Linked DNA regions of Xenopus tropicalis. The protein of the gene in region 3 purifies or fractionates together with the protein of the main gene of each other region. This does not show direct contact. Links are inferred from orthologs where the notes say so. Each region holds a gene or a part of one and is shown on either strand. Other genes may lie near its edges. The genes, in order: cul4b, dcaf1, cops8, ddb2, cul4a and cul2.

Region 1 (5,375 bases), on a different chromosome or scaffold from region 3:
CAGGCATAATTAATAACTGGCTGTTATAGGCAGAATTTAAATAAAGCCAATGTCACAGCAGAGCCACCTGTGGTCCTAGTAAGTAGTGGAGATTGAGTAGGTTTCACCTGTTACTAGAACTCAGAGAGAAAGGGTTGTGTTGCAGATGATCCCACAGCATGTTACTTCTGACACCCTTAGCAAGCTAAACAGCTGCCTGTGTGTGTCCTAACATATCTGCCTTGCAGGTCATAGGGACAGTAGCCTCCCAAGGAATGAAGATGCTTCCTAGTCAGTTACAGAAGTGTCTCAATGGCATTGACAGGTGTACTTAATACATTTTTTTCCCATTACCCCAGAATAAAAAAACAACCACTCTATAAAAAGCCAGAAAAAAAAACGCAAGTATCCCTTGGTGCTGCAGAGGTTTGCCACTGCAAATACATAGACATACATAATACTCCTTTGTAAACAGTAAACAGTGTATTGTTGCTCTTTGTATCACCGTTTACCAATAAATGTGGCAATGCTCCTTTATACTGTATGAGCAGACAAGTTCTTTTGCCGAGAATTCCTTCATTTCTACTTCAAGCCTGTATATGAAACAGTACTACAATTTAGGTGTGCATTGTGTCTGTTTGATATAGGATTAGTTGTACTATTAGTATATCAGAAAAAATCACAAGCACTTAATACCAGTTGTACAAAAAAATGAAGAGGCTGGTAAGGTCTTTTGCCAAAACAGAGTAATTTTTTTTTTTTACATACAATTACTACTTTTTAAAGGCAAACTAACAGCACAATTTCCTGAGTTTCTACCTTATTTTAGCTGCATCAGCTAAACCTTTATATATAAATTTATTATGGGCATACCCAGGGCTGTATATTGGTCATGTGCCATCCTAGGCACCAGCCTAGTTTACCCCCCCCCCACTTAGCAACTGGTGCACATGCATTGCAGTTTGCATAATGCTCATGCACCAATAACTGATAGAAATTTCTTAGAAATTATTAAATTCCCCCACTTTGCACTAAGGCCTCTGGCACACGGGGAGATTAGTCGCCCGCGACAAATCTCCCTGTTCGCGGGCGACTAATCTCCCCGAAAATGTAAATCGCCAGTGGGATGGCATATGCGGCAGGGCAATTTCAGTGAAATCGCGGAAATTGCCTTGAGGAAACATCCGTGATTTCACTGAAATCGCGCCATCCCGATTTACATTTTCGCCGGTGGGATGGCATTTCGGGGAAATTAGTCGCCCGCGAACAGGGAGATTTGTCGCGGGCAACTAATCTCCCCATGTGCCAGAGCCCTAAAGAGATCAGGGCCAGAAGCCACATTGATACCACTAAACAATCTGTTTGCAAATGTCAACAAACACACTTCTGTGTGGGCCCAAAATGAACCAGCCTGACCTGATTCTGATTAGCCATGTTAGTAAATGGTGAATAGCCTCACAAATCTGTGTAAAGTGTTGCAGTTATCACCTTAACAGTTATTTAGCAGATTGTCTAAGGGCTCTGGCACATGGGGAAATTAGTCGCCCACAACAAAACTCCCTGTTCGCGGTCGACTAATCTCCCCAGATTGCCATCCCACCTGCGAAAATGTAAATCGCTGGCGGCGTGATTTCAGTGAAATTGCGCAAGTTGCCTCGAGAGGAAACCTGCGCGATTTCATTGAAATCGCGCCACCCCGTATGCCCGAGACACAGGTGGGATGGCATTTCAGGGAGATTAGTCGCGGGCGACTAATCTCCCCGTGTGCCAGAGCCCTAAGGGCAAGGATGCTTTCTGTTGATCTGAAACCATCCTACAAAAGCTCCCGTGTAGTTTAGTCCTGAATGTTGCTTCACTAACACCAGCATGATTTGTGTGTTGTGTGTAGACAAATGCCTAAAATAAACAGTGTTCACTTTCAAATTATTCTGGAAGTGGACATTGAAGAAAGATTTTCAGTGTTTTGGCACTGGTCCCATGAGATACTAAAAAAAAAAAAAAAAATGGCTTTGGCCAATGAGTCCCACAGGAATATTGACACTGCAGCTTAGATCGGTTGTGACAAAGATTTTTTTTTTAATAGAAAAGATTGCCTTTGCATTGAAGATATCCCTTAACTGTAGCGCTCTTAGTATTGACACACAGATCTGGTTGGGTCAAACAGGAATGCTTGTAACAAGCATCAAATCCCCTAAGTGCTCCAAAATATTGCGGATCCCTATAGAAAGAATCAAGCATTACCAGCTTAAAACACTTTGGCTTTATGCTGGTTAGGAGTGCATCAATACACAAGCCCTTAGAAGTCAAAACTGCCATTCCAGATAGATTCAACCATAATAAAATAACGCCAAAAGGAAACTGTAATTTTACCATCATGAAAAAACCAAACAGGCAAACGTTTGCCCCAAACTACTGGGTGACACAAGACAGCATGCTAGTTTCTGAATTCCAAATTAAAGGAGATTTTATTTTGACCAGAGCACCCTTGTAATCACCTGGTCCTTAAGCACATTCTGGTCAAAGTATTACACTCCCTGAAGTGACCTATCAAAGAGCTGATTGAATGGTGCCATCCCTCTTTACCTTTAAAGTTCTTGATGACTAACTTCTTGGCTGAGCCAGGCTTGCTGTTGGCAAAACTGGACACGGGTGAGGCTTTTGTGAGGCCATTGGCATGATGCCCAACGCCCACTGGGGAGATGAGCAGGTTTTTACTCCTCACTGCCTGGGGAGTAGAGGAGGATGAGCAGGAAGAAGAAGGAGACTCCTCGGCCATCTTCACATCGAGTCCTAGAAAGTCCAAAGTGTCTTCAAAACGCAGCTTCTTTTGGATGTGGTTAGAGGAGGAAGAGGAGTTTCTGGGGGGCGACAGGGGGTCCAAATCGTCCTTATCGCTGCTGCTGATATTCAACCTTCTCTTTTTGGAGGTGCTGTTTCCCTCAGTCCTTACCTCCTGCGCCGGGGGGTTGGGGGTTGATAAGCCTGTGGGAAACATGAAAACACCACAAATAGAAAAGATTCAAGGCAGCCCAGACTGTGTGTGACCGCTGGATCGTGTGGGGACCGCAACAAACAGCTAACGTGGCCCTTTGGTTAGCGCTTCCCAGTGGCCCCCTCGGCAGGCACTCTGCTTTAGTTCTGCTCGGTGAAGGCCCCGGCCCCGCTCTCCGGATATCCCCACTCTTTTTCTTGTTTATTGTCACAAGAGCAGGGAACCAAAGATGGCCTCACTTCCTCTCGCAGTGCATGTTGGGAAGAGTTCCCCAGGAGGCTGCCGTGAGCCCACACCCCTTCCCAGCCGGGACAGTCAGGGAGCCTTTGACGCCAGCTGCTGCCAAACTATCAAAACCAAAGGGGTAGCGCTTACTGCATTAACTATAGCGCGAAAGGCTGGCTGTGTTCCCTCTCTCCCCTCCCCTTTTTATTCTACTGTGATGTCATGGCAACCTTCGTACCTTGTTTTGACTGACCGGAAGGACTAGCGATGAGGTCTTTCATAATGCCCGACCGTGCGGGCCTCATCCGTCCCCTTTCTCCTCGCCGAGCTTCCGCCTTAGGTTGGTGCCGGCGAGGAGTCCCGACAAGGGGAAGGAAGGGGCTGAGGCTGGAAACTACTCGAGGGGGAGGAGTCGAGGGTTGAATATTCCCGCCTCTGTAGTGACGCCTAAAGGGAATAAGGACCAATAATCAGCTTGGTTTGGGTGACATTTCCCCCTGATGCCTCCACATGGTACCGCCTGTTCAGCAGCGTGGGGGCCGGAGAGGCTTAGAATAGTTACATAAAGGAGAGCGCCAGTAGTTGCGTGTGACGCTTCCCGCTTAAAATGAGTTCCTTGTGGAAGCTCCTCAGTAACTACTCAGTACTACTACTCAGTAAGCGTCAAACATGAAGTTTGTGTCTGAAAGCAATGTATAATGGCGTGTATAGCAGGGATGAAAAGTACATATATTAACCCCACTATTCATTTAAGTGCCAGATTAAAATAAACTTATATCATACAAAGTGGTCAATTTGGGTGATATAATAATCTCTGGGAGAGTAAGGCTTCCCATTGGATTACGCAGCTGTATACCAGATTCTGACTGAAAGCAATGGCTGAATGTGTTTTTTTTTTATAAAGCAGCTATTCTGGGTTCTCTATGTGCTTGTGAGCCTGCATACAAGTTATAACACCAGCAAAAACAACACATGTTAAGCACACCAAAAGGTGTATGCTCATACTTAGTTTCAGCACTTGACCCTATTCAATTGTTTTTTTTTTTTAACAGATATGCAAGCACTGGTCACTGCATAAAGCACTTATGAATCATCTGGTAAAGCTTAATAGAGATGTTACATATAACTAAATAACTAATTTGGGTTGACAAAAGCCCAAAGCCTATCAAGTTCAACATCTCTAAAAACCCCAGTGCACAAAAATACACATACCTATATAGACCAATCTATACACTTACAAATATAAACTATATATACCCAAATAATGTTGAAGCTAGGTGTTTGTAGAACTCACGGGCGTTGCTGCCATGAGGCGAGTTGAGAAACTCACATTAGGCTGTATTGCCTGGCAAGTTACTGGAGGCGGCAAAAAGCCCCTTCAGGTAACTTAAAGAGCCTTGTGTATACTTTAATGCTCATTGTAGATTGTAAGCTCTTTTGGGCAGGGCCCTCTTCACCTCTTGTATCCGTTATTGATTGCTTTATATGTTACTCTGTATGTCCAATGTATGAAACCCACTTATTGTACAGCGCTGCGGAATATGTTGGCGCTTTATAAATAAATGTTAATAATAATAATTTTGGCTACTGGTAGCTTATAGCCCTGCCTACTTCAAACTGGGCTACAAAATTTCACAAGAGCTAACACACAAGTATGCTGTATGAGAAGTTACCAATTGATATAGATGACAATAAGCTCTACATGGCAGGGACCCACTTCCCTACTGTGTCTTGTACCACATAGTACTTAATTGCTGGATATTTACAATAATGCTTGTTCTCCCTGGTTGTACTTTTCTGTATTGTAAAATTGTACGGCACTGCGTATCCTAGTATGGCTATATAAACTTATACGTATATGCCCCAATGTAATTAATTTGATGATGGGGCACTTGTAGCCTCATCTTGCTCCATCCTATACTGTTCACTCCCCCTGCCAAGTGCCTCTGGCATCTTCCTGCACTCCTGTCCAGTTTCCAGAGTAAATGTGGCTTGGGAAGCATGCTGCCCTTAAAAGCATGCTGCCCTTAAAATCATGCTGCCCTTAAAATCATGCTGCCCTAGGTCCAGAACTTTTTTTAGTTTTGGATTGCAAATACTGAATTTTACTTATCTCCTGTATCCACAGTCATCTCTGCATGACTGATGAACATGATCATCTGGCACCATAAAATTTTGC
Region 2 (5,548 bases), on a different chromosome or scaffold from region 3:
AGTTGCATTATTCTTTAATATAAGCACATATAAGCACAATATAACACACCTATTAAATCTAGTTAATATACATTAATATGCTGCATTTCCGATTCCCCCTATTATTAGTAAATGGATTTTGTGCACAAGGCACTTAATAATAAGAGCAATTTAATACGGTAGTAAAAAAATCTCACAGCCAATAGCCATACCATGATCAGTCTGTTTATAGGTGTTTTTAAAGCTACACATAACATTTTTACGTTATGAAGGTGAAAATGTAATTCTAAGCTCTTCCGTGGGTGTTAAATGTACATTGGTTTTAAAGGTATTTGTAAATATAATTGCAACTGAAATCAGCATTTTCTGAAGTCCCTTCAAGGGATGCATTGAATCCACTATTTTCGTATTTGGCCGAACCCTGAATCCTTGGTTCAGAGTGGAATGTCCTGGTGTGAAGAGGCAGATGATTAGATAATGGCAGGTAAAGCTGGCCATATACAGCCTGATTAAAGACTGTGGCTGAAAATTGGACACATATGTATTGGGTATGTTAGAAAATCCCACTGGGTAAGAGGACCAGGCTGATGTGCAAATGAGGCACCATAGGCCTGCAGTATGATCAGATCATTGGCTTGGGAGAAAGACAATCTCATAAGCAAAATTTTGCTGACCAGTTGAGTACTTATGTTTAAATACTTCTCAGTAAGCTGTTCAGGATACCCGCTCTTCTAAGCTATTAAAAGACTTCCAGTGCCAACATGGCCAAATTAAATCTACCAATTAAAGGGGAACTAAAGACTGGTTAAAGAGAGAGCTCCCCTAAGCACATTTTGAGAAAACTCAGACTCCTTAAAGGAGAAGGAAAGGCAAAAACTAAGTAAGCTTTATCAGCAAGGTCTATGTAAATACAGCCATAAGCACTCACAGAAAAGCTGCACTGAGTCCTCTATCAAAAGAAACACAGGATTTCTTGTCTTCATTTGTGTATACATGTACTTTGGTATCTGACTTCCTCTCTCAGAAAAATTCATCATTCCTGGGAGTCTTCACAGCTCTCTCCCTTCTCCTGCTACCCAAGCAGCCAAACGGAGGGAGTTTCTAGGGCTCTTTACTCGGTACGGTAATGCTTTTTTCAGAATAAATATATTGTTATAGGTGGCACTAATGTGGTGAATGTATTGGCAGTAAAATGCCAAAATGACTTTCCTTCTCCTTTAAAGTAGCACTAAAGCCAAACTTAAGAAATAGGCTAGAAATGTTATGCATTTTTTTCACGGCAACCACAGCCCTTTAGTATGGAAGATCTGTGCCCCCAAAGATGCCCCCAGTAGCCCCCCCATCTTCTTTTCTGCCGATTCCCTGCACATGTTCTGTGCTGCTTTCATTTACTGAGCTTAGGGGCCCACTCACTATATACTGTATATATAGAATATAAATGATAAGTAATTCATTCAGATTCACATAACATGGAAGCTCTGAAACCAGTGCAATTAGCATCAGGATTTTATCATCAGCCCTGTAGCATCAGTTTATATGACAGGCCAGTCTCATTTTCTGCTTGATAATTTGTGACAACCCCTAATCTTGGCTTCTCAGAGGCCACTGAGCATGTGCACTATCCCAGACAGAATCCAAGATGGGGAGCTCCCGTGACAACTGTAAAGACCTGTATCATTACAACTATAGAGATGCTGAAAGTTTTAGCTAGTGCAGTCAGTTTATTATATAAAATGCATTTCTAGCCTTATTCATTTTTAGGGTTTAGTTGTCCTTTAAATGCTCCCTTTCTGGTCTTGCACCAGTGTTCTGATAGATGTTGCATATACTGTTCATCACACAAACTGCATCCTTGAGTTTTTTAGTTGTATATTATAGAGAGTATTGTGTCCCTGTCAAATCATTAATAGGCTCATCATACCAGCCCTTAGGGTAAGGCCCCACAGACAATCCGTCAGTAGGCTTGAAAACTATTCTAACTGTGCCTGCACCCAGAAGCACTGCATCTGCCTGTGTGACACAGACTGACAATCCAGCTCGTGGGTGCTCAGGGTGCATTAGCCCAAGGAAACCACACTGCCCCCCCCCCCTCCAAAGCAAAGTGGAGTGAAATGGCTGTTGAGTTTGAAAGAGTGCTGCGCTGTTCTCATACTGTTGCTGAGCTACAATCCTCATAAGCAGCTAAGCCCACAATAACTTTTGTTAAATTACAGCACCTGGCATCCCTAGAAGTCATTCAAAAACATAACTCATTCATTATAAAAGCCACAAGTTAAGGATTTCCCTTCTTCACCATTATTATTCGGAACCAGCAATATCAAAATGTATCCTTGCCATCTGCCCGACTACATTTTACCAACATGCCCCAGGGAGCTGCAGGTCACAACAGCAGATGGACATCCCCATCTACATATCTTCATACCTGGATTGTTTACCTTTCTAGCTTTTCCCAGCACCATTGCTTTTCATCTTACTGGCTTGTCTATTCAAAGCCCACCTATGCCCAGAGAAGGAACTAGAGATCAAGTGGCCCCCATGTAAATAAAAAAATGAATGGAGTTCATAGCTGCCCTGCCGATGAGTCTTCCATGGTTGACTCCGACTGTCAGGATCCCTTAGGTGGGATGCAAGTTACAGGTCACCAAATGCCAGAGGGCTTCTGGCTGCAGTACAGTGTAAGGTTCCTTAACCTATAAGTCAGAACAAAAATGGGATCCCCAAACTCAAAAATGGCCTTGTCACAATAGCAAAGAGTTAATAAATGGGATGTAAACCCAAATAGACAATGTTTCTTAAGGAAAGAAATTGCAATTCTAAGCAACAAATCATACAGACATTTAAATACTTCTATCAGTTGCCATAGAAACCTGCAACTGTCTGTTCCTTTTTGCGCTACTGTTAGCGATTGTTAAACCAATGTAGCAGAAGTTAGTTACAGAACATGTGTATGTAGCTGCTTACAGTGACAGTCTAACGTTCGAAACTCCCTTCTATACTTGGGCCTCCTGAGGGAAAAAGTTTCCCCACACAGGACCGGCCGTGCTGCCAGCCCCGTTAGCTGTCACTGTCACCACTTGGCGCCCGAGCAGTTCCCCGCACAGACCCGGCGGCTGCCGCTGCCCCACTCCTGCTGCACCTCAGCCCCCGCGTCAGGCCTCCCCTCTCTGATAAGGCATGTATCCGCCAAATATCCACTTACTTCTGTAACCGGTATGTCGGTTGTTCTCCCCGACTCTGTACCAGTCGGTGTCCCGAGTCCTTCTCACTCGCGTCCTGCACTCAGGGTCCCTTTCTTTGTCCTTCCGTGCCCGTCCCTCTCGGCCTCTCCCTCGTTTCGCTCCTTGCTTCCCTGCAGCGCTGTCCCCCACTCCGGCCCCTACGTTTCGCCTCCTGTCCCTGGCTCTCACGTTCTCCCCTCACTACAGCCGCTTGGGCGGCGCTCACTTTACACGTCACCACCTTGCGCGCTCGCTTTTCCCTCTTCTACAGAGCGGAGTGGCATTATGGGTAGTGTAGTTTACAAAGAAACTACGGCGGCCAGTTTAGGACGTTCTACGACGAGCAAAAACAGCGCCAACATATCTTATTAGCTCCACCCCCTCACGCCTCTCTCCAAGGTCTCCCCTTTATGACTTTCCCTTCGCTGGTTCGTCTCCCCAGCGCCCCCGCCCTCATACAGCTGTCACATTTTCTCTTTTTCTGCCTGTCAGGCTTTCTCATTGCCACAATACACCTCTTGTCTCTTCCTTCTACCGCACACGAACTTACTCCCTACTCCCTAAAATTTCAAACAACCCTTTGAGACTTGGGGTCACTATGGCATTAATTGTTGGGGCCACTGTATCAAAAAGCGATTGGTAGGGGCGTCTTTACTAATATTGGTACCACTGTGTCATCTCTTGTTGGGACTTAGTAGGCCTGGGCTGGCAATCTGTGGGTTCAGGCAAATGCCAGAGGGGCTGCTGTAAGGTGCCATAGACAGTCACTATTTATTGGGCTGGGGGGGGCTGTTTGGGTCTCTGTGTACATGAAATGCCGGGGGCTACTTTGGGGCTAATGCATAATATGCAGGGGCTTTTCAGTCCCTAGTGCAGCCCTGGGGAAGTCACCCTCCTCTTCACGCTGTTTTTTTTAGTTGGGGGGGCCGTATTGCTAGCGCAGAGAGCGCAATAGAACTCTGCACTAGATGAGACAGAATTTCTTCTTATCAGGGCCGCCGCTCCTTATAAGCAGAGTACTCAGTCTGCATAGGGCACCAACTCCCAGGGGGGCACCATCCCAGCTGTTCAAAAAAACATTTCTATATATTATAACATACCCCCCAACACTGTCCCGCCGGTTTTTATAGCGCATCCCGCTGTCCCAGATAGTTTAATCAATCTATGGGGGCACTTACTATGGGGGCATTGTCTATGGGGGCACTGTGTGTGGGGCCCCTATAGTAGGTGTTTTTTTTTATTATTTTATTTTTACTTCCGTAATATTTGGGGGAGGGGGCACAAAAGTACATTTCTGCTTAGTGACCCATTTGGCCAGCAGCGGCCCTGCTTCTTATAAATCAAATTTCCAGTAATTACCAGGAGGCTTATTGCCACCCCCCGCGTTTCACCTGAGGTGAGTTTTTCCACTCTGCTCAATGCAGTTGCACCCCTGATAGTATGTGATTGGGGCCACTGCTTTATGACTGCATAATATGTAATTGGGGTGAAATAGGGTTGCCACCTGGGGTCATTAAAGAAATGGTTCACTGTAAAAATGAAACTCGGTAAGTAGGCTTTGCAAAATAAAAAAATATTTTCAATATAGTTAACCAAAAATGTGCATGTATAAAGGCTGGAGTGAGCAGATGTCTAACATAGCCAGAACACTACTTTTCTTTGCTTTTAAATCTATCCTCCCTGATAAGGATCAAAAGTAAACTAAGTGAACAGTTATGTTCTATGTGGCCCTCCCAAAGACAGACAGGGCGATAAGTCACAGCCATTTTAAGAACAAGAACAATAGCAGTTTGTCCCACACCGCATATTTCCACGATCGGATTTTTTCAAAATTGCAGTGACTAATCTCCCGTCTGTCTTTGCCCTTAGCCATCTCCACTCTCCAAACTCCAGCCTTTATAGATAACATTTTTGCCCAACTATATTTGAAATATTTTTTTTATTTTACACAGCTATTTTACTAAGTTTTATGCTGAACCGTTCCTTTAAAAAAATTCCTCTTGGGTTCTGTGTGTAATCAAATGCATCAATGTCAGGAAGATCAAGCTGAAATGTTGTGTGGGGTAGATGTTAAAGAGCAAAACTGCTGGGCTCATCACTTGCTTAGTGCCCAGTAGACCCAGACCTGCAATCTGTGGGTTCTGGCAAATGCCAGAGGGGCTGCTGTAAGATGCCCTAGACAGTTACTATTTAGTGGGCTGGTGGTTAATTTGCTTTGTCATATGAGCTATGTTCAGTGATTTATTGGCTGTTTCCAGGGTCGGAATGGGCCTCCTGGGACACCGGGAAAAATCATGGTGGGCACCGGCGGCCCAGACCCGACCGTTCCTCCCCTGACATGTTAAATTTAT
Region 3 (5,260 bases):
CAGAACGTGAATAATTGAGGGGAAAAAAAACACATACAATATAAAATAAAGCTAAAATATTACTTATCTAAAAGATGCTAAGGGACAGATTTATCATTTGCCACATTCTATTCCTCTGTTATTCTTAGAAGTGCATCAACCAGAGGCTGAAAGTTAGAGTTCACCATTTGATGATAAATATGCTACTCAAAATGTCAGAAGAATTAATAGAGAGTGGGAACATTTTACTGTGATGAATGTGCCCCTAAAAGTCAATATGCACTTTTCCTTTAAAAGGAGAAGTACATTAATTTTTCTCCATGTTGTATCCAGTGCTCTCCAGTAACCCATGCAAGCCTCTGAATCAAAACAGTCTCTACAGAAACTCAACAGAGCATTGGAGGAGTGAGAGAAGGATGTGGCATGGAAGGGTGCAGGAACACAGAATTGGGAAGCTTTGAAACACACAACAATATCCTGTAAGCAGCATCTTTAGTATGGGTGCCAGCAGATACATACTGATGAAATGACTCAAGAATTTCTTGCATTTTCTTTCAAGAATTTTCTTGAATCTGTAATAAAGCTTGGGATACCTACTTTAGAAAATTTTGTAAGGTAACATTGCTGACAGCAACAAATTTTTGTGATATTTTTAAGTTGTTTTTACAGCCGCCATCAATAATTAGAATTTTACCAATTTACTCCATATTAACCAATCAGAAGTTAATGTGCAAGGAGTCTGATTAGAGCACACCTAGCTGTTAAGGGGGTTATACCTCTTACAGCCTCCATGACTGGTTGGATGGCCTCAGACCACTGACATGCAGAGATGGATGTGTAGATCCCTGGAAAATCTCGCTGCCAGATCTTCTGTCCTACCTCCCAGATCCCACCAAGCTCAGAGTGGGCCTGTAGGGGAACCACAATTAAATGCATAAAGTACTTTTTTTTTTTAAAAGTGGAAACAATCCTATAAGATACATTGTTTAGCACTAGTCCTGGGGATGACCTTGAAATGATTTTTAAACCAGTGCCACTATCCTTTAAAAGTAAGCACAATTAAGTCTGGGGGAAGGAAAACATGCCCATTTCACAAAGATTCTCTGTAAACTCAAAACAGGACAATTTTAATTTTCCTTACCTTTACTCTATGCAAAACTGAGATCCTTATATTACAAAATGCAAAAGTATTTAAATTATTGGAATATTTTTGAATTTCAGGGATGTACACACTGGATACCATGTTAACAAAGAGCAAAGTGAAAATTAGCATATACACATCATGTCAGACAGTTTTAACATTATAACCTGCCAAAGGATTACTTAAAAAGCATTTATACCCTCAATTATTGTACTTCAGGAGCACCCAAAGAAATAAAAAAAGGTTTAGTAAAGAGGTGGGCCAGCTAAGGCTGCAATAAGCATTCAATGAGCCATGTATTCACAACCATTCAGAACCTAATAGGGTTTTGTAGTAGTAATAGTAGTAGTAGAAACTAAGCTAATACGCTCATAACAGCAAGTCACGTCAAGCAAATCACATGACATTACTTACGGATTTGATTGCTGGCGGAATTCTTTTCCATAAATAACGTGCATTATTCCTAATAAAGAGAAAAAGCACCAAAAATGTAAAAAGTATTTTAAATTATTTCATAATTAAAAACTGACACTTTTATTCATGAATATGTTCACATAGTTTTACAGGTGTACAAGCACTATTACGACTAGTTTGTTGCTTATTCCTTCTGTCACTTGGCCATATAATGGATCTTACATAAAAAAAAAAACAAAAAAAAACAAGATTACCGCATTTTAATGCAAATCTGGGTGTTTTACTCCACAATACTATACCCTCCCTTCCTAGGACTAGGAATAAACACATGATTCATGAAACACTCTGTAGAATAAAATGTAATTTAATAAAATTTGCCCAATACTGTTCTTATTGTGAAGATAAATACAATAAATACATTGTAGCCAAATAAAGCAGTACTAGGGAGAATATGATTTATGGTCAACCCCGTTCATTGATATCTGTCAACTAGATTAAACCTAGCAGATGGGGCTGGGAGAAGCAATAGTTACACATATACCTTTCAATAAACATAAATTGTATTAAATTAAATTTCTATTAGAAAGTACCTACTACCAGTGAGTACACATTTGCATGATCAGCATTCTCTTCCTATTGCTATGGACACTAAAGTCAATTTAAATATTGAGTGAGATTGCTTCACCATTTCAAACTTTACAACCAATGCATGGAACACTGACCAATCAAAGGACAAATTATACCAGTCAAAGATGCAATTCAATCAGCCCTATTAGAGGAGGCGTGACTAGCCAAAACCATGCGACACCTGTCAAACTGCCAGCCAATCAACTGGTAGCAAGCAAGGACACCTTTATATATAGGAACAATGGTCCAGTAATGTTTATTAATAATTTGTAGCTACACCTCCACCTCATGAATACTCCTGTAATGGCAATGCAGAAATCACATAATGTAAGGAAACGATTCCAAGGGGCTGCACACACAAAAGTATGCAGCACGTTGTACTGGTGGTAAAAAAAAGTTTGCTACTTTTGATGTCTGATGTCACGATCAGGAAAACATGACTTATTTATATAACGTGTAGTGTTTCCAAAGTAAACTATTTTTGCCATGCAGGGTAATACCTACAGCACATGGAGCTTAGCTTCACTGGGAATGAAATGACAGGGGACTTCATTATAATGACAAGCTGCAAGGGGACATTCAGCGACCCTTTTACTTTTTGGGCATTACTGCTCCTTTAAATTGTATTCAGCTGTATAAAGAGCCATTCAATGAACAGCTGGATACTATGCCAATGGGGCACAGAGGTCTATGGCCTTTAGGTTGTCAGGAATAGCCCTGAGGTGTCCATAGTAATTGTGTCAGGCAGAGAAGAGATAGAAAACAAGTGAAAGAAACAGGAGAAACTTACATGTCATTATGCAGCAAGTACAATGCCAAGAGCTGGCTGTACACCTGAGGGTTGGCAATGCCTCCTGGAGCCTGGAAGACACATCTCTGGGTTAGAAAGAAGGTGACGATGACAAAGATTCTAATAGAAAAGACAACATAGCATGGTTTCCTACTGAAGCGCCTTATAATGACACATCTCCCTATCCCACTGTCACACTCCGCCCCACGCCAGGCAGCTAGGAATAAAACCGAGTACCTCAAGCTCCTGTTCCTCGCACTGTTCCTGAAGCCTCTGAAAAGACACAGGATTTTGAGCCATCACGGCCACTGGCATCTTCTCCCAGGGCCCCCGGGACCTCTTAGGGTCGCTGCAAGTTCCCAGTGGCTAATGGCCGCAAGTGACGTCACGAACACGTGAAGACGCGGTGACGTCTCCAGCACGTAACGTTCGGCGCATTCTTCAAATGGCTGGATATATAGATTTTACGTGAGTGCGGTTCTCAGTGCTTACTTGGGGATTCCATGGAGGAGGAGTTCTCTATTAGAGTCTGGGTAGCATTATTTATTTATTGGGACAGGATTAAATGCAGGAGTTTATTAAGTTCTTGCCTGAATACTGGGGCACTTTCTGTTCAGTAAGGCTGTGGATCTATTACGAATTTGTTTGTCTCTGTAAGTGTCTTAATATTAGGGGGTTACTGGAGCCTGCTTATATGTGGAGGGTGGTTGTTGAATTTTTTTGTGTGACCTTGGGTTGATGTGCTGCACGATTTTGAGCTATGGAGAGGAGTTTTGGAGTGTGCTGATGTTTTTGTGGTAGATCATTTGGGGGGGGGGGGGGGGTGGCTGTTTTTTGTGGGGGGAAGGTTTGTGTGCTTAGTCTGTGTTTTTTGGGGGGGGGGGGGGGGGGTTGTTAATTTTCTTGGTGCTGTTTTGCTAGGGTGCATTTTTAAGGTTTTGTTTTTTTTACCCAGAACTTTGAGGGGAGATTGGGTTAGTCCTAGTGTGGGAGGAACAGTGTGTGATGAAATTAGATGAGCTGTACTAGGTTTATGTCTGTGGGGGGCATTTGACTCTAGAGCAGTGTGTAGGGAAACTAGACATATCTATCACATAGTGGGTTGTGGCAGCAGGTGAGGTCTCTAGTTATGGATGGGGTGGTTTGGAGGTGTGTAAGTAAGGCATTTTGTAGTGTTTGTGTCCCTAGTTGTATACCTGACTGTGGGAAAGTGAGGCAGCATGTGTCACCCCTAGGTATGTTTGTGCATTTAGGGCTCAGGTTAGGGACATTTAGAAGCCTATATCTTGTTTCAGAATTGGAATTACACAAAAATTCTACCATAATTTGAAAGTTTGGGTTGTCCTGAAAAAACCCAAAAACAATATATATTGTTTTCCTGGGTAAACTAAAAGTCCCCCAGAGGAAAGGCCCCTAAGTGAAACCATGCAAATGTTCAAAAACTGACTGGCAATACAAGTTCTGCTTTGACCAAAATGGCTGGCCATGAAAGGGTTAAAGAAGGAAAGCTGAAATCACTGGGGAGTTTCAAATGTTAAATAGTTACATAGTTACATAGGGTTGAAAAAAGACCATTGTCCATCAAGTTCAACCCATCCGAGTAAACCCAGCACACAACCTATACTAACCAATCTATACACTCACATACATAAACTATATATATACAACCAGTAATACTAACTGTAGATATTAGTATCACAATAGCCTTGGATATTCTGCTTGTTCAAAAACTCATCCAGGCCCCTCTTAAAGGCAAATAGTGATATAACTGATACCCTAGGCTGGAGCTCCTGTTAGCAGAAAACTGCACTAGCCCAGCCACACCATGGAGAGATCACCTAATTCCATTTGTGGAAGACATTTATATGTGGATGTGCATCCAGATGCATACACATATCAGGTCCTTGGAAAACCATGTGATTTCACAGTACTTAACTATAGAAAGCTCTCCTATGGCTGCTTTAGGGCTGTGACACATGGGGAGATTAGTCACTGCGCAACAAATCTCCCCAAAATGCCATCCCACCGGCGAGAATGTAAATCACCGGTGAGATGGCATACTCGGTGCCGCGATTTGCAGAAGTTGCCTTGAGAGGAAACTTCTGCGACTTCAGCAAATTGTGGAGCCGCGTATGCCATCCCATCGGCGATTTACATTATCGCTGGTGGGATGGCATTTTGGGGAGATTAGGAAATTTGTTGTGACTAACCTTCCCATCTGTCACAGCCCTTAGAAGTGAGGTCTTCTACTGGGCAAGAAGATAGCCAATAACACCTGAAGAACAGCTCATTGGCATATTGGTTCCTTT
Region 4 (4,032 bases), on a different chromosome or scaffold from region 3:
AGAAAGATAAATAGAAACCAGGTTAACAACTCACTTGAGGCCAAAGCTGCATGGGTGCAATGGGGTTATTAGAGGGGTTTGAGCAGGAATGTTTACCCCTAGAGGCAGGGCCAGACTTAGGAAAGAATGGAACCTATGGCAATGTAGGAAGGCTGAGATCACCTGGTGCAGAGATTACGAAACTCAAAGAGGTCTAACCTAGAACCTTCCAGTTAAATAAGCGGAGCATGGTGGCCTGGGGGGAAATGCGTGTGTCACATGAACATTCACACAGACCGAATGTAGGCAATGTTCTTCTGATGTACTTCCCACACTGCCAGGTTCCCCTATCAATCAGGGCTTTCTAAGAGACCTCTAAAGGTAAAGAAGTGGACACTTTCCATGAAGAGCCCAATATGGAAGAAGTGGGACCCTTACCGAAACAATACCAGAAGCATAAGGGTCATACAGCTGGCATACAATATTCCCTTTCTGTCCATCAAACACATCTACCGTCCGAAGCTCATCTGACATATAGCCTGGAAAGAGCGGGTCTGGGTATCGGCCAACAACTATTAAATCATAGCGAGGATGCCACGTGGCCTGAAATTTAAAAAAAAAAAAAAATACATTAAAGGCAAGTAAAGGACTACCTGATTCTGAGCAACTTGGCAAACAGAAAGGGCAGGCACCCGTAAACCCACACCAGGTTATTAGAACAAAATGTCTGTTTACTGCAGGAACATGCAAAGAGACTCCTTCAGGGTACTTTTTGTATCATGTATGAAGAAGGATAAATGTACCCCCTACTGTAAATGACAAGGATATTAGAAGTCATTGAGGGGGTTCTGTGCCCATATAAAGGCACAAGGCTGCAGGCTGAGTTATACAGGGAACTCTGAGTATCACTCATGTATTATAAGGGATAATGTACCCCCTACTGTAAATGATAAGGATATTAGCAGTCACTGAGGGGTTCTGTGCCCATATAAATGCACAAGGCTGCAGGCTGAGTTATACAGTGAACATGTACCCCCTACTGTAAATGATAAGGATATTAGCAGTCACTGAGGGGTTCTGTGCCCCCCATATAAAGGCACAAGGCTGCAGGCTGAGTTATACAGGGAACTCTGAGTACCACTCATGTATTATAAGGGATAATGTACCCCCTACTGTAAATGATAAGGATATTAGAAGTCACTGAGGGGTTCTGTGCCCATATAAAGGCACAAGGCTGCAGGCTGAGTTATACAGGGAACTCTGAGTATCACTCATGTATTATAAGGGATAATGTACCCCCTACTGTAAATGATAAGGATATTAGCAGTCACTGAGGGGCTCTGTGACCATATAAAGGCACAAGGCTGCAGGCTGAGTTATACAGTGAACATGTACCCCCTACTGTAAATTATAAGGATATTAGAAATAACTGAGGAGGAAGCATGTAAAGTGATTAGGCTACAAGCTATATGGAGCAAGACGAATATCCTTGGGGTACTGGCACTTGGGGATATTAGTCAACTGCGATAAATCTTCGCTATGCTTTGCCATTCCCCATAGTTTCCTTGCCAGGCAACTCTGGGTGACTTAAGAGAAACAAAGTGCCCTGTTTTTCCCACCTGTTTTTCCCACCTGCGGCCGACTAATCTCCCTGCGGGCCAGGATCCTTACATTTCACAGTACAACTGACATATTTAAGTGCTGTACTTTAGGATATTTTATAGATGAATGCTATATTTATATAGCTTTATATACCTTAATTGCAGTCAAATGTTGGAATTGCCGGTGTGGATGAGGTATTATGTGCTGCGGTTTGGCCCAATCACACGCAGAATAGACACGGATCTCACTGTGCTGATCGGTAGTGAGTAGCTTTGCCCCATCCCAGGGGCTAAAATAAGCTGCAATAGAGAGACCACCATGAGTCACAAATGGCCACGATTACCTGTCAGGATACCGGGTGTAGGGAACAGCGCTTACCAGAGTTGACGCCACGTGCATGAGGCAATGTGTACAGGTAGCTGGACTTGTCTTTGATATTGCGCAGGTCCCACAGCTTCACGGTCTGATCCACAGAAGCGGACGCCAGCAGCCAATCACAGCGAGGGTTAAACTCTACATGCGTCACTTTCTTTTTGTGAAGCCGTAACTTCCAGATCTGAGAATAAAGGTGCCAAGGGTCAGTCTCCCGTGCCAAGGGACCACTTTCATTCACCATGATCAGTATAGGGTTGGAATAAGGTCTCTGCCCCAAAGAGCTTACAATCTAAAAACAGGAAGTCCAGGGCTGGACAATACCCACCTCCTTCCCACAGGTCTCCAGGAGGACCACGTTGCCTACATTATCCCCCGTGACCACACACTGCCTTTCAGCGGAAACATCGAGGCTGCAGTACCACATCCTATGGAAGAACCAGTGGCAGTTAAACCAAAGGCCAAAAGCCCCAAAACTGCATGTAAGCACCCCTAGTTATATCCATGTGCCAGGTTTGGAATGGGCCATTAACAGATATAAAAAGAATATTTATTTTTGTGAAAATGATGATATTCCATGTTAAATGGGAAGTAAACAGTTTTACAGTGTATCCTGCTTCCTTTCTTTGGACTGGCGACTTAATTATCTATGCATACAGGATCAACCAGTCAGGAGCCTGTATACTAGATAATTATATGTGCCATACTGTGCATGAGGGGGGGGTTCAGCTCACCCTATCTGCAGCAGCTAGTAATCACATTTAAAAAGGGCAATGGCACATTATGCTCACCACTATTTCTAGCAAGGATCGTATTTTCTATATAGGAACCCAAGCCCCTTGGGTGGTAGCTTCAGAGGGAAAGCCCTTGGGTACCAGGACACTACAGCCAATTAAGCAATAATTCCGCCCCCACTGAGGGTCAGTACTCCCGCCTACCCCACAGAGCCATCTCGCTTACGCCCAGTCCTCAGTGTTGGTGAATGTCTGAATATTGCGCCCAGAGAAGTCCTGTAGCACGGTGCTACCCGCCACTGATGAGGTGTACAACTGATTAGGGTTAAACGGGTCGAACTTCATTCCGGTGATGCACCCCCCGGCTCCAATCTGCAAGGATAAAAACACAGCAAAGTTGTAGCCATGTGCGAGAGGGATCCAGCGGGGCGAGAAGAACTGGACTCACCCCAGGAATGAGGGTGTTATTGAGCTCTTCATAGTCCCACAGAATGATGTCTCCTCCTTTTGATCCCACCGCCACTGTATTCGGGTGCGTAGGGTGCCACTCAAGAGTGGTAACTCTGCGATCAAAGGGGCTGTTGGTCCGATATAATATGTATGAAGCCAGGGACCGGAGAAAAGGGGTTTGCAGGTACTGAAAAGAAATAGGTGAATGCATTAATAATTAAACCAACCTGAAGCTCCTCCATTTTTAGTCCTTGCAAAGAAAATATTTAATTAGCAGTATGCAAACCCTATTCCCTTCACCCTTTGTTATGATAGCTTTGTTAGCCAGGGAATTATCAATGCACTAATCTAATGATCTGCCTTGCAAGGACCAAACATGGAGCAGCTTCAATTTGCCACTGCCCTAAATATGAGGGGTGCAATTTAATATAAAGCGTATTGTGGGTTTAAGTTTGGAAATGTTTGCAGGCAATAAAATGCATTACAATCAAAGCCTAGGAAGGGACATTTTTGCTGCCAGCCAAGTTGGAAATGGAAGGGGTGGCAAGAGAGTGCTATTGCCCTTAAAAGCCACTTTGTGCATGGGTGTGTGCACCTTACCTTTGCCCGGACATTGCCCCCCAGAGTGCTGCGATACAGGTAGTGCACGATGCTTCTCTGCTTGTCTCCTTTGTTAGTGAGGTTTGTACCACAGTCGGACTCTGTGGGGGGGGGGGCAAGAAAGTTATTTAGTTAGAACATCGGGCACATGAAGCAGCCCCCCCCCATGCACAATAGGTTCAATAACAGGGTAATTACCTTTACTGCTGCATGGTACATCTGAGGCACACTGCTGCCCGCTTCTCTTCTTAGAGGGTTTCTTGAGCCTGGCTTCACCATTTTTCTCTATGTCCCG
Region 5 (4,796 bases), on a different chromosome or scaffold from region 3:
TCTGTGGTACCGAGGGCCAGAATTTTTCTGGCCAACACGGTAGAGGGACGATAATGGAAGCCAGTTTGACCACTCCCCCTTTTAAAACCACACCCACTTAAAATCACACCCATGTTATCACATAGCTTTTAAGACTATACCCACATTAATGGTGATAGCGCAGCAAAACCCCAAATGGTTGGTGCTCACTGTAGGGATATCAGCCTTCATTCATATGTGAAAGAATTATATTATGCCATATTAAGACACAACCTTAAATTCTTATGCCTCCTCTTCCCCTGTGGATAGCACAGCAACCCCCAGCATATAATTACAAATTTTAGGGACCATATAATGACTATTTTTAAATGCTATCAAACTCCCAGAACAAACCCCTGCCAGGTTCACCTCCCACAGGCAGCATAGGGCAGGCAGAGTATGGCACACACAGGCAGGGTAGGGCAGACAGAGTATGGCACATAAGCAGCATAGGGCAGACAGAGTATGGGACACACGGACAGCATAGAGCAGGCAGAGTATGGCACATACTCTGTCTGCCCTACCCTGCCTATGTGTGCCATACTATCTCTGCCCTATGCTGCCTGTGTGTATGGCACACACAGACAGCATACACTGACACAATGCTTGCACTGCTCCTACAGTCTGTCTGAGGTGTGAACAGATGCAGGGGGTGAACAATGCAAGGATTAAAAGGTGTGAACAGTACAGGAGATTACATATTTAAACAATACAGGGGGATTACAGCCTGAATATGAGGTGTGAACCATGCAGGGGGCCATTTAATCTCAGTACTGATACCATTTAAAGCTTCCACAAAGGTAAATCATCAAAGCAGCTAGACAGGTGGGGGGGCAACACAGAGGGGGCCAGTTGGACAGCCCTGAGATAGATCTTATAAGAGATACTTACAGTTTCTTTCATTTGTATTTGGTTGATTTTAATTCTGTATAGTTTGTGCTTGAAGTCGGCATTAAAGCAAAACCTGTCTCCATCCTCCACATCTTTGCTCTTTGGTGATTTATTTAAAACTCTGGCTTTACCACATGCAAGGGACTGCAGCGTTCGTCTCAGTTCATTATCCTCTGGTTAGGACAAGACAGAGCATTGTAATTAATAATTGTATTTAAAATTATGAAAGTCTGGGTTCTTTTCTCCTAAAGAGTGGTAAATAAACTATACATTCTAATTTGTGAGTACCATCCAGATTAGCAAGATACACTATGTTTCTGTGTTACATTTATGCTCCCAGACCACCTGATGATTGCAAAGTAAGAATAGTCAAGGCACAGCATAAAAGTGAAAATGTATGATCTTGTGTGGTCATATTTTAAAGATATTGTGTACATGAAAGGGACATTACTTTGTTAATGGCTATATACGAGAAGTGTAAAAAAAGGGCATGACAGTGAAGTTAAAAGAAATATCTGAACTTTTATCTGTGACTTTTAAAGAGAGGGTGGAAGAACTATTTTCTCACCTCTTCTTACAGTTTTGCTCAGAAGCAGAACTTTAAGTAGAAGTGAGAAAATTGTTTTTCCACCCTCTTCCCCCTTAATTTATATACTGCTTCAGAAATTGTTATTACTGCTATTGCTACTATCATGCCCTCATCTGCAGCCCCGTGTTTTGTGATTTAGCTTGATTCTGCCCTATCTTTTTCAATTCACATTCCAGAAAACTAAATTAGATATGGCAGCAGACATGCTAAATGTGCGGATTACAACATCCATATATTTTGACGTGGGAATATAGGTAGGACAAGGCAAAGGATTTGTGTGCCTACTCTACCTGCTTTTGACACTTTCACTTTAAACAAGGAGAACATACTTTTTTTTTTTTTTTTTTTTTTTTAACATATTGTTAAATTCCCTAGCTTCTCAGCCCTAAAATTGATCACAGTATCATGATGCCACCACAAACAGCAGACTGAGTCCTTCTATAGTTGGTACCAACTAGAAACAGGGTCGGACTGGGCCCCGGCTCTAGTGGGCCCCGGCAGCCCAGACCCGACCCTTGCTGCGCTCCCTCTGCCCGACAGCTCCTCCCGATGCGTTAAATTACGCGTGCTCGGGGGCGGACGTCGGGTGGGGGGCGCTGCGGGGGGGGGAGACTTAGGGGACGCGGCCGGCGGGGACACCTGCAGGGCCACTGGGGCGGGAGCACAGTGGGCCCTTCACCCCCCAGTCCGACCCTGACTAGAAATAGAAGGTGGGCCCAGGTTATGGTTAAACATACATCATGAAGCAAAAACTGGAGGGCAGCTCTCAAGCCCCCCATCCCCAACAGTTCTGGAGGCTTTGCAGTCTCTTATATGCCAGAGGGAGGCGATTATTATTAAGTATACAAATACTGATCTCTGTCAAAGTTCTCACCAATTCCAGTTGTTATTTTAATTTCTTCAAAGCCAAATTCATCTCCCTTATTAAACAAGAGAAGCACCAAGGTCTGAAAGAGAGACACTTGCAGTTCTTTTTTCTCCTAAAAGTAATTTAAAAACAAAAGTGTCAAGATTTGGAAGGAAGGGAAATGTTTAGCACATTTATGCTGAAATATATTTTTATTGCAAAGCTGTTGAAAAAGGAAGTTATCTGTGGCCCATGCTGTATTACAGTGGTTTACAGGCTTTATTGGTTTGGGACAACCACCTAGACCCAACACTGGATAAGGACTTAGCCCATGCAAGGTTATGGAAATGTCAATACGGCTGTATCAATAGACAATAGTGGTCACCCAAAATCTCGTCCAAGTGGACCTTCTAACTGTGCTTCTTAAGGCAGGTGGCACACATTGTGGATTGTTGGCTTTCCTCCACAGCTGGTTTTTATAAAGGCAGAGAAAAGCAGATCCGCTCTCATTCGCACACCCCCATAGCTCTAATACCAGGCCCAGTATCAGCCTGCCTGGAGCTACAAAGAACGGATATCAGAGTAAAAATACATACGTTTGTGTTTTTATGCCAATATGCGATCTGTGTAGCTCCACACAGGCCAATGCCAGGCCTGTCAGTGGAGCTATGGGGTTGTGTACATAAGAGCGAATTCGCTTTTCTCCACCTCTATAAAAGCACCTGTGGCTGGGATCCTACATTGCAAAGCTGACGACTGGCTAGGATCCTACAGCACAGCCTGGGGAAGCAGGTGACTGGAACAAGCTAGGTTTTTGGAAACATTTCAGTAAAGCAGTAGGAAAAGCAACTTTTAAAGGCACGGTACATGGTAAATAGTTGGTCTTGATGTTCTGTGCTTTCTCTTTCAACAGTACTCAATAGTGAGTACTCTCTATGACCAAAATTCCAAATAATTTTAGAGAACTTACTTCTTTAAAATCTGCTTTCAGAACTGCATGCCCAAGTGTTGACTGCCACTGTAGTCTTCTGCCACTATGTTTTCCTAAATAAAATGTTTTAAATATTTCCTGAAGTTTCACCATCTGAAAATTGAGAAGATACTTGTATAAAACAATGCAAAAGAAAATAAATAATCACCAGAGAAATAAATGAAACACCACAAGGTGGCAAGATCATAGATACAACAAGCTGCACTCTATCAGGTGATAAATGCCAACATAAATATTGTTTGAATGTCTGGATATATTTGACACCTAGTATGTGCAGTTTAGATTAGAGACCACTCTGCAGTTCAATATAAAAGCTGTCTGTCTGTCCAAATTTTCATTATAAGTTGTTCTTGATGGGTGGTCAGAAGTGGCAGATGAGGATCAAAACATTTGGCTTGTCAGCTGAACAGGCAGAACAGTGCTTTTTCACTTCCCACATGAACAGGGCTGTGGAGTCGGTAGATAAATTCTCCGACTCCAACTCCTCAGTTTCTGATACTTCGACTCAGACTCCGACTCCTCTGTTTTTAATATGCTAATGTATTTATACATTCATACAGTCAATGAAAAGCATGCTTCATGGTCACTCAATGTGTTCGTTTATGCACTGCGTGCATTGGGCTTTATTCTTATAGCAGAGAAGTAATTAATTATGAATTGGGACATTTAAACTCGCTTTATTTATTTTTTTTATTCCCATTTAAATTTAGTAGGAGTCGGAGTCGGTTAATTTTTTGCCGACTCCGACTCCAAGTCCCCAAAATTGCCTCCGACTCCGACTCCACAGCCCTGCACATGAATATCCAACTGTTTGGCCTATGGGCTGATCCACTGGTTAAGAATAAGGGGGCCCATTCATTAAAGCACTATTTTTTTTTTTATCAGAAAAAATCATATTTTTTCAAATTTATAGAACTTTTCACAATAACCACGATAATAGTGTCAAAATGACATGACTTTTTCGTGATTTACTTTAACTTCCACGAAAAAGTCGTATTTTTTCGCAAAGACTACGACCGTATCTGAATTCATTCAAGCTTTGGTGTCGTGACTATCTTTTGGCCAGGTTGGAGCTGTAGAGTGCTATTGAGTCCAACGGAAGGCTTCCAAAATCACGCATTGAAGTTTTAAAGCCAGAAAGGTTTTTGCACCGTTTACAATCATTCAGATCCGAAAATTTTGTGACTTTCAGATCGCAACCATGATATTTTTGTACGACCCAGAAAATAATTTTTCCAATCGTGCTTTTAAGTAGTGAAAATTTGTGCTTTAATGAATGGGTCCCTAAAACTGGACTATGCATGACCACCATTTTTACTCTGGATTAACTTCCCTGAATTAAATGGGAACAACTGTTAAAAAATAAAAGTTCAACGTAAGCTCCATCACATGGAAATAAGAAAACTTTCTACATTAGTATTTAACATTTCTAAAATAATCATGTTTCGCTTTAGCAATGT
Region 6 (4,796 bases), on a different chromosome or scaffold from region 3:
CGTTCCTATTGATTATCATAGGAATGTGTCAGTATTCCTTTTAGACTAATCATTAATTAATTCAGATTCTCATTACATGGCAGCTCTAAAACCAGTGCAATTAGCATTTAATAATCAACCCTGCTGCAATAGCTTCTACTTCAGGCAAATGTAATTTTCTGCTTTATGATTTGAGTTACACCACTGACCATTACTGTTACAGAGATTTGGAGCCATTATGATGCTGCAGGATGTTCAGTATACTTCATTTCTGACCATTATCGGTTTTAGGGTTTAGTTCTCCTTTCATGGGAAATTCTAGAATATTAAGTTTTGTTTTAGTTTGCCATCACTGATCATTATTTATTTTTATTTTTTAGGGATCGATGTGGGGAAGACCCAAATCAGAAAGTAATCCATGGGGTTATTAACTCCTTTGTTCATGTTGAACAGTATAAGAAAAAATTTCCCTTAAAGGTACCAGTGTCATTATAAAGATTTGGCCTTCTGTGTTGGATAGTTAAGATTTTGCTTGTGTTTTAAGGCAGCTTACATGATAGGATTTTGTACAAACAGATGACCGATTAAGGACAAATTATAAAATAATATAATTATTGTTAAACAGATGGGGAATTGGCAATTGTAGTTTTAAGATTGGTCTGACAATACATATAGGATCTTTTAAACAATACCACAATGATACCACACAGTGCTTTTATTGTGGGCGGATGAATCATGCAGTGGTTGTGCATGTGACTGGGTGAAAGTGAAGCTTTGGTATTGCCTGTGTAACTGTGTGGCTGTATGTGTGTAAGTGGAACTATATCTGGTGCCTCCACAATGATGCAATGTTGCTTGTGCTTGTATAAGTGAATGATATTTTCTGTGTGCCTAATGGGGCAGCTACATTTTGCTCTTGCCTGTGTAGATGTGTGCAATTGTGGCCATAAAGACGCTGCTTACACCGCCTATTGAAAACATTCTTGCGTTATCAACATACTGTGCTTTATTACAGTTTTATCAAGAAATATTTGAGTTGCCTTTTCTGGCTGAAACAGGGGAGTATTATAAACAAGAAGCTTCAAATTTATTACAAGAGTCAAACTGCTCACAATATATGGAAAAGGTAAAGAAAAGTAACAGCCTATGTATTTTTATTGTGGATTTATTAAAATGTATATTATGCTTTCTGTACAATTTATAGGAATTAGTAAGGTTTACCTTACAACTCTGGAACAAAACCATAACAGTAATGGGAGTTAAAACCAATGTAATATTTGGTCAGAGTATTCTTTTGCTCAGAAAACCATAGCAGCCAACCAGATGTTTATTATTATTCAAGCCACAGTATGAATGTAAAAGTTAATTGCTGTTTTGTTGTTATAATTTAATGGAGTGGGGCAAAATTAAAAAAATAATATACTGTTTACATGCACTGGCAAAAGTTGTATGCTTGTCTTAGAAGCACTACTATAGCTTATAATATAATAAAGCTGTGTAGCCATGTGGGCATCCATTCAAGTTGAAATAGGGCTAAATGGCCCTTTTATATTTTGCTGTTACAGGTATAGGACCTGTTATCCAGAATGCTCAGAACTTGGGATATCTTTATATGATTTGGACCTCTATATTTTAAGTCTGCTAAAAATTAGTTTAAACATTAAATAAATTCAATAGGATTGTTTTGCCCCCAATAAAGATTAATTATATCTTAGTTGGGATCAAGTACAGAGAAAAAGGAATTCAGTTTTAAAATTTTGAATTATTTAATTAAGATGGAATCTATAGGAGATGGCTTTTTCCGTAATTTGTACTAATTTGTAATGCATCCCATACCTGTACTGGTCCTTTAAGTACATTGGGCAGCCTTTTTTTTTGTGTGTAAAGGGGAAATTATGGAATATTTAAACTTCTATTAAGTGGAGTGGGAAAACTATAGGGGTTGGTCTTGATCCCAGGGGCAGCAAGTACAAGAGCGATATCAGTTTACAGGTGTCATTGTCCCATTATAACAGCTTTTTCTAAGGAGACTCAGATTAAGTTGCAGAACCCAAACATGAATTTTAAAGCAATCACGTACCTTGTTTTTAATACGTTTTTAAAGATTTCTTGCACATTATTATTTATTATTTACGTGCAGATTTTAGGTAGATTAAAAGATGAAGAGATTCGATGTCGAAAGTATTTACACCCCAGTTCATATAATAAAGTGATTCATGAATGCCAGCAGAGAATGGTGGCAGACCACTTGCAGTTTCTACACGCAGAATGTCACAATATCATCAGACAAGAAAGGAGAAGCGGTAAGCACTGAGCAGTTATTTTTTCTTTTGTTTTAGGTGAAACCATTTTCAGTTTCTCAGCCTTTTAGCCATCATCATAATATATGCTTTGGTTGAGAACTGTATTATCAAAGTGGCTTATTATGATGTTGCTAAGCTTAGGTCAGAAATGGAAAGTCTTTTATTCAGCAGGGGTAGTGTTGATAAGCTAATACTTCTCTTTTAAAGAACAGTAACTCCAAAAAAATTGTGTTTTAAAGTGATTATAATTAACTTTTGCCTTGCACTGGTATTTTTGCTTTAGAAACACTAATATAGTTTTTTTTATAAATAATCTCTGTAGCAATGAGGGAGGCTATTCAAAGGAAACAAAAGGCTCAGATTACATAGCAGATAAGTTCTGTAGAATATAATGGTGTTCTACAGGGCTCATCTTTTATCCGCTATTTAAATCTGTGCCATTTAACGCTATTTAATTTTTAGGTCCCTGTATCAAACAGCTGGGGTGCCCTAGTCCTAACGGGAAATTTTAAAATTTCCTGTAATTCTTTCAAACTTACCTTATTGTATTTACTTTACTCCTTGTGTCCTGCAGCCTCCTTGAATGGCAAGATATATTGTGCTCTATATTGAATGTTGAAAAGTGGGCTTTAATTTAAGGGGATTATAAATATTTTAGTATTTTAGTGTAACAATGCCACAGAGTAAAATTAGTTTAAAAAACTGTTTAAATGTTAACTCGTGATTGTTACAGTTATCACTTTGTGTCACATTATTTTCTGTGGCATTGCAGATATGGCCAACATGTACACTCTTCTCCGTGCTGTATCCAATGGTTTACCTCATATGATTCAGGAACTCCAAAACCATATCCACGATGAAGGCCTTAGAGCTATTAGTAATCTTTCTCAGGAAAACGTGAGTAACCATGAAGCCCTTGATAGCCGCATAAATACTAAATGAGCAGTAGGGATAAAATATGAAGGAGCAGAGCCACGGGCTATAGCCTGCACCAATTGTTTGCTGCTACTTGTACAGGCAGGCATAACGCCCTGTGTGCCATAGACCATAGATGCAGAGCTCCCTGAAAGAGGGAAAAGGAAGGAAACGAGGAAATTACTTCCCTGCCTGACATCTTTAAATCTGCCACACTCATCATTGGATCAGACAGTTGAAAGATATGAACATGTGGCCAAATTCCCCAAATTATCATTTTAAAAACTAATGCGAAACAAAGAGTTAATCTGGCCATATTATACCATAGTCCAAATAAAAAAAAAAGGGTTTGGATTTTAAAGGAATATATCTGTTTATGTACTTTATCTTTAAGTAGCAATAAGAATGAAAATGCCCAAGTACACAAAAGGCCAGCACCACAGAGTGCCACATGCTTCCTGACAAAGAAACTTAAAGAAAATGGCTAATTCATACCGATGAAACATGAAATGAAATGAATTATGGGGAAGTTTTATTTAATCTTTTACATGCCAGCTGGGTTTTATTTATTACATGGTATATTATTAAGACTATTTCCCATTAGAATGTGATTGCTCCAAACTGTGCACAATGAATGTTCCCTCTTTTTCAAATGGCCTTGGGTCAGTATGTCACTAAGTACAGGGAACACTAGCCAGTGCTAATCTCAGATCATTTGTAGTTGCCATTCATGAATTTTTGTATTTTTATAATTCATTTAAATGTTTTAAGTTTTTTTTTTCTTGTAGTTCTCTTTGTGTTTTTTTATAAATGTTCCCTTTTTATCTTTCAGATGCCAACTCAATTTGTGGAGTCAGTCTTAGAAGTTCACAGTAAATTTGTTCAGCTTGTCAACTCTGTATTGAATGGTGATCAGCACTTTATGAGTGCACTAGACAAGGTACAGTAATCAATAGGTCCTGATCATGACCCTATACCACCTTGCACAAACAAATACAGAAATATAATGGGGCTTAACATTTTTACATTTCAGACCCCCACCCCCTACTGTTTAAATGATTTCCCTGCTGTGTCACTACCAAGTCCCATGTCCATACCTACTATTTTAAATGCAAAGTTTCACACTGGTTTTAATAACTTCACATCCGGTGTCTTTCCCCCTGGTGGCAACCTCTGACAAAAGATTTAAAGGCTTTTAGCGCACATGATTTTGTTCAGAGGTGACCGTCAGGGTCTAACCCTGATGCAAGAGAGGTAAGAGTGGCTCTGAACTTACAAACAGTGGCAGTGATGTGGTTGGGGAGGGGGACCTGTGCAGGGCCCTAAACTGGTGGTGGGGTATTAGGGATGGTGTCAGACCAAGAGACCACAACATATAAATAGGATGTACAGGTATGGGATCTGTTATACACAGAAAGCTCCTATAGACTCCAATTTCAGGAAATAATTCTAATTTTAAAAAATGATTTCCCTTTTCTCTGTAATAATAAAGCAGAACCTTGTACTTGATCCCAACTAAGATATAATTAATCCTTATTGGAGGATAAAAATTCTGGTGGGTTTATTTAATGTTTAAATGATTTTTTAGTAGACTTTAAG

The links.
Region 1: the proteins of cops8 (region 3) and cul4b purify together in Homo sapiens (affinity purification with mass spectrometry; 7 studies listed by BioGRID and IntAct, counting the BioPlex papers as one, with this or other methods). This does not show direct contact. The link is inferred for Xenopus tropicalis from reciprocal best matches to the Homo sapiens genes COPS8 and CUL4B.
Region 2: the proteins of cops8 (region 3) and dcaf1 purify together in Homo sapiens (affinity purification with mass spectrometry; 4 studies listed by BioGRID and IntAct, counting the BioPlex papers as one, with this or other methods). This does not show direct contact. The link is inferred for Xenopus tropicalis from reciprocal best matches to the Homo sapiens genes COPS8 and DCAF1.
Region 4: the proteins of cops8 (region 3) and ddb2 purify together in Homo sapiens (affinity purification with mass spectrometry; 6 studies listed by BioGRID and IntAct, counting the BioPlex papers as one, with this or other methods). This does not show direct contact. The link is inferred for Xenopus tropicalis from reciprocal best matches to the Homo sapiens genes COPS8 and DDB2.
Region 5: the proteins of cops8 (region 3) and cul4a purify together in Homo sapiens (affinity purification with mass spectrometry; 10 studies listed by BioGRID and IntAct, counting the BioPlex papers as one, with this or other methods). This does not show direct contact. The link is inferred for Xenopus tropicalis from reciprocal best matches to the Homo sapiens genes COPS8 and CUL4A.
Region 6: the proteins of cops8 (region 3) and cul2 purify together in Homo sapiens (affinity purification with mass spectrometry; 4 studies listed by BioGRID and IntAct, counting the BioPlex papers as one, with this or other methods). This does not show direct contact. The link is inferred for Xenopus tropicalis from reciprocal best matches to the Homo sapiens genes COPS8 and CUL2.

What each region holds. Positions count from the first base shown.
Region 1 is NC_030684.2:46,091,310-46,096,684, forward strand, and holds the start of cul4b (cullin-4B), read right to left. Parts: upstream 3,167-5,375; 5' UTR 2,975-3,166; coding exon 2,563-2,974; intron 1-2,562.
Region 2 is NC_030680.2:127,299,510-127,305,057, reverse strand, and holds the start of dcaf1 (DDB1- and CUL4-associated factor 1), read right to left. Parts: upstream 3,522-5,548; 5' UTR 3,179-3,521; intron 1-3,178. UniProt on the Homo sapiens protein: Acts both as a substrate recognition component of E3 ubiquitin-protein ligase complexes and as an atypical serine/threonine-protein kinase, playing key roles in various processes such as cell cycle, telomerase regulation and histone modification.
Region 3 is NC_030685.2:50,662,869-50,668,128, reverse strand, and holds the start of cops8 (COP9 signalosome complex subunit 8), read right to left. Parts: upstream 3,308-5,260; 5' UTR 3,267-3,307; coding exon 3,189-3,266; intron 3,023-3,188; coding exon 2,952-3,022; intron 1,584-2,951; coding exon 1,535-1,583; intron 889-1,534; coding exon 756-888; intron 1-755. UniProt on the Homo sapiens protein: Component of the COP9 signalosome complex (CSN), a complex involved in various cellular and developmental processes.
Region 4 is NC_030680.2:15,447,388-15,451,419, reverse strand, and holds part of ddb2 (DNA damage-binding protein 2), read right to left. Parts: coding exon 3,936-4,032; intron 3,839-3,935; coding exon 3,738-3,838; intron 3,325-3,737; coding exon 3,136-3,324; intron 3,060-3,135; coding exon 2,914-3,059; intron 2,382-2,913; coding exon 2,282-2,381; intron 2,138-2,281; coding exon 1,960-2,137; intron 1,881-1,959; coding exon 1,735-1,880; intron 583-1,734; coding exon 418-582; intron 1-417.
Region 5 is NC_030678.2:116,003,681-116,008,476, forward strand, and holds part of cul4a (cullin-4A), read right to left. Parts: intron 3,430-4,796; coding exon 3,316-3,429; intron 2,479-3,315; coding exon 2,373-2,478; intron 1,083-2,372; coding exon 910-1,082; intron 1-909. UniProt on the Homo sapiens protein: Core component of multiple cullin-RING-based E3 ubiquitin-protein ligase complexes which mediate the ubiquitination of target proteins. As a scaffold protein may contribute to catalysis through positioning of the substrate and the ubiquitin-conjugating enzyme.
Region 6 is NC_030682.2:21,664,564-21,669,359, forward strand, and holds part of cul2 (cullin-2), read left to right. Parts: intron 1-359; coding exon 360-456; intron 457-994; coding exon 995-1,105; intron 1,106-2,119; coding exon 2,120-2,282; intron 2,283-3,054; coding exon 3,055-3,179; intron 3,180-4,029; coding exon 4,030-4,137; intron 4,138-4,796.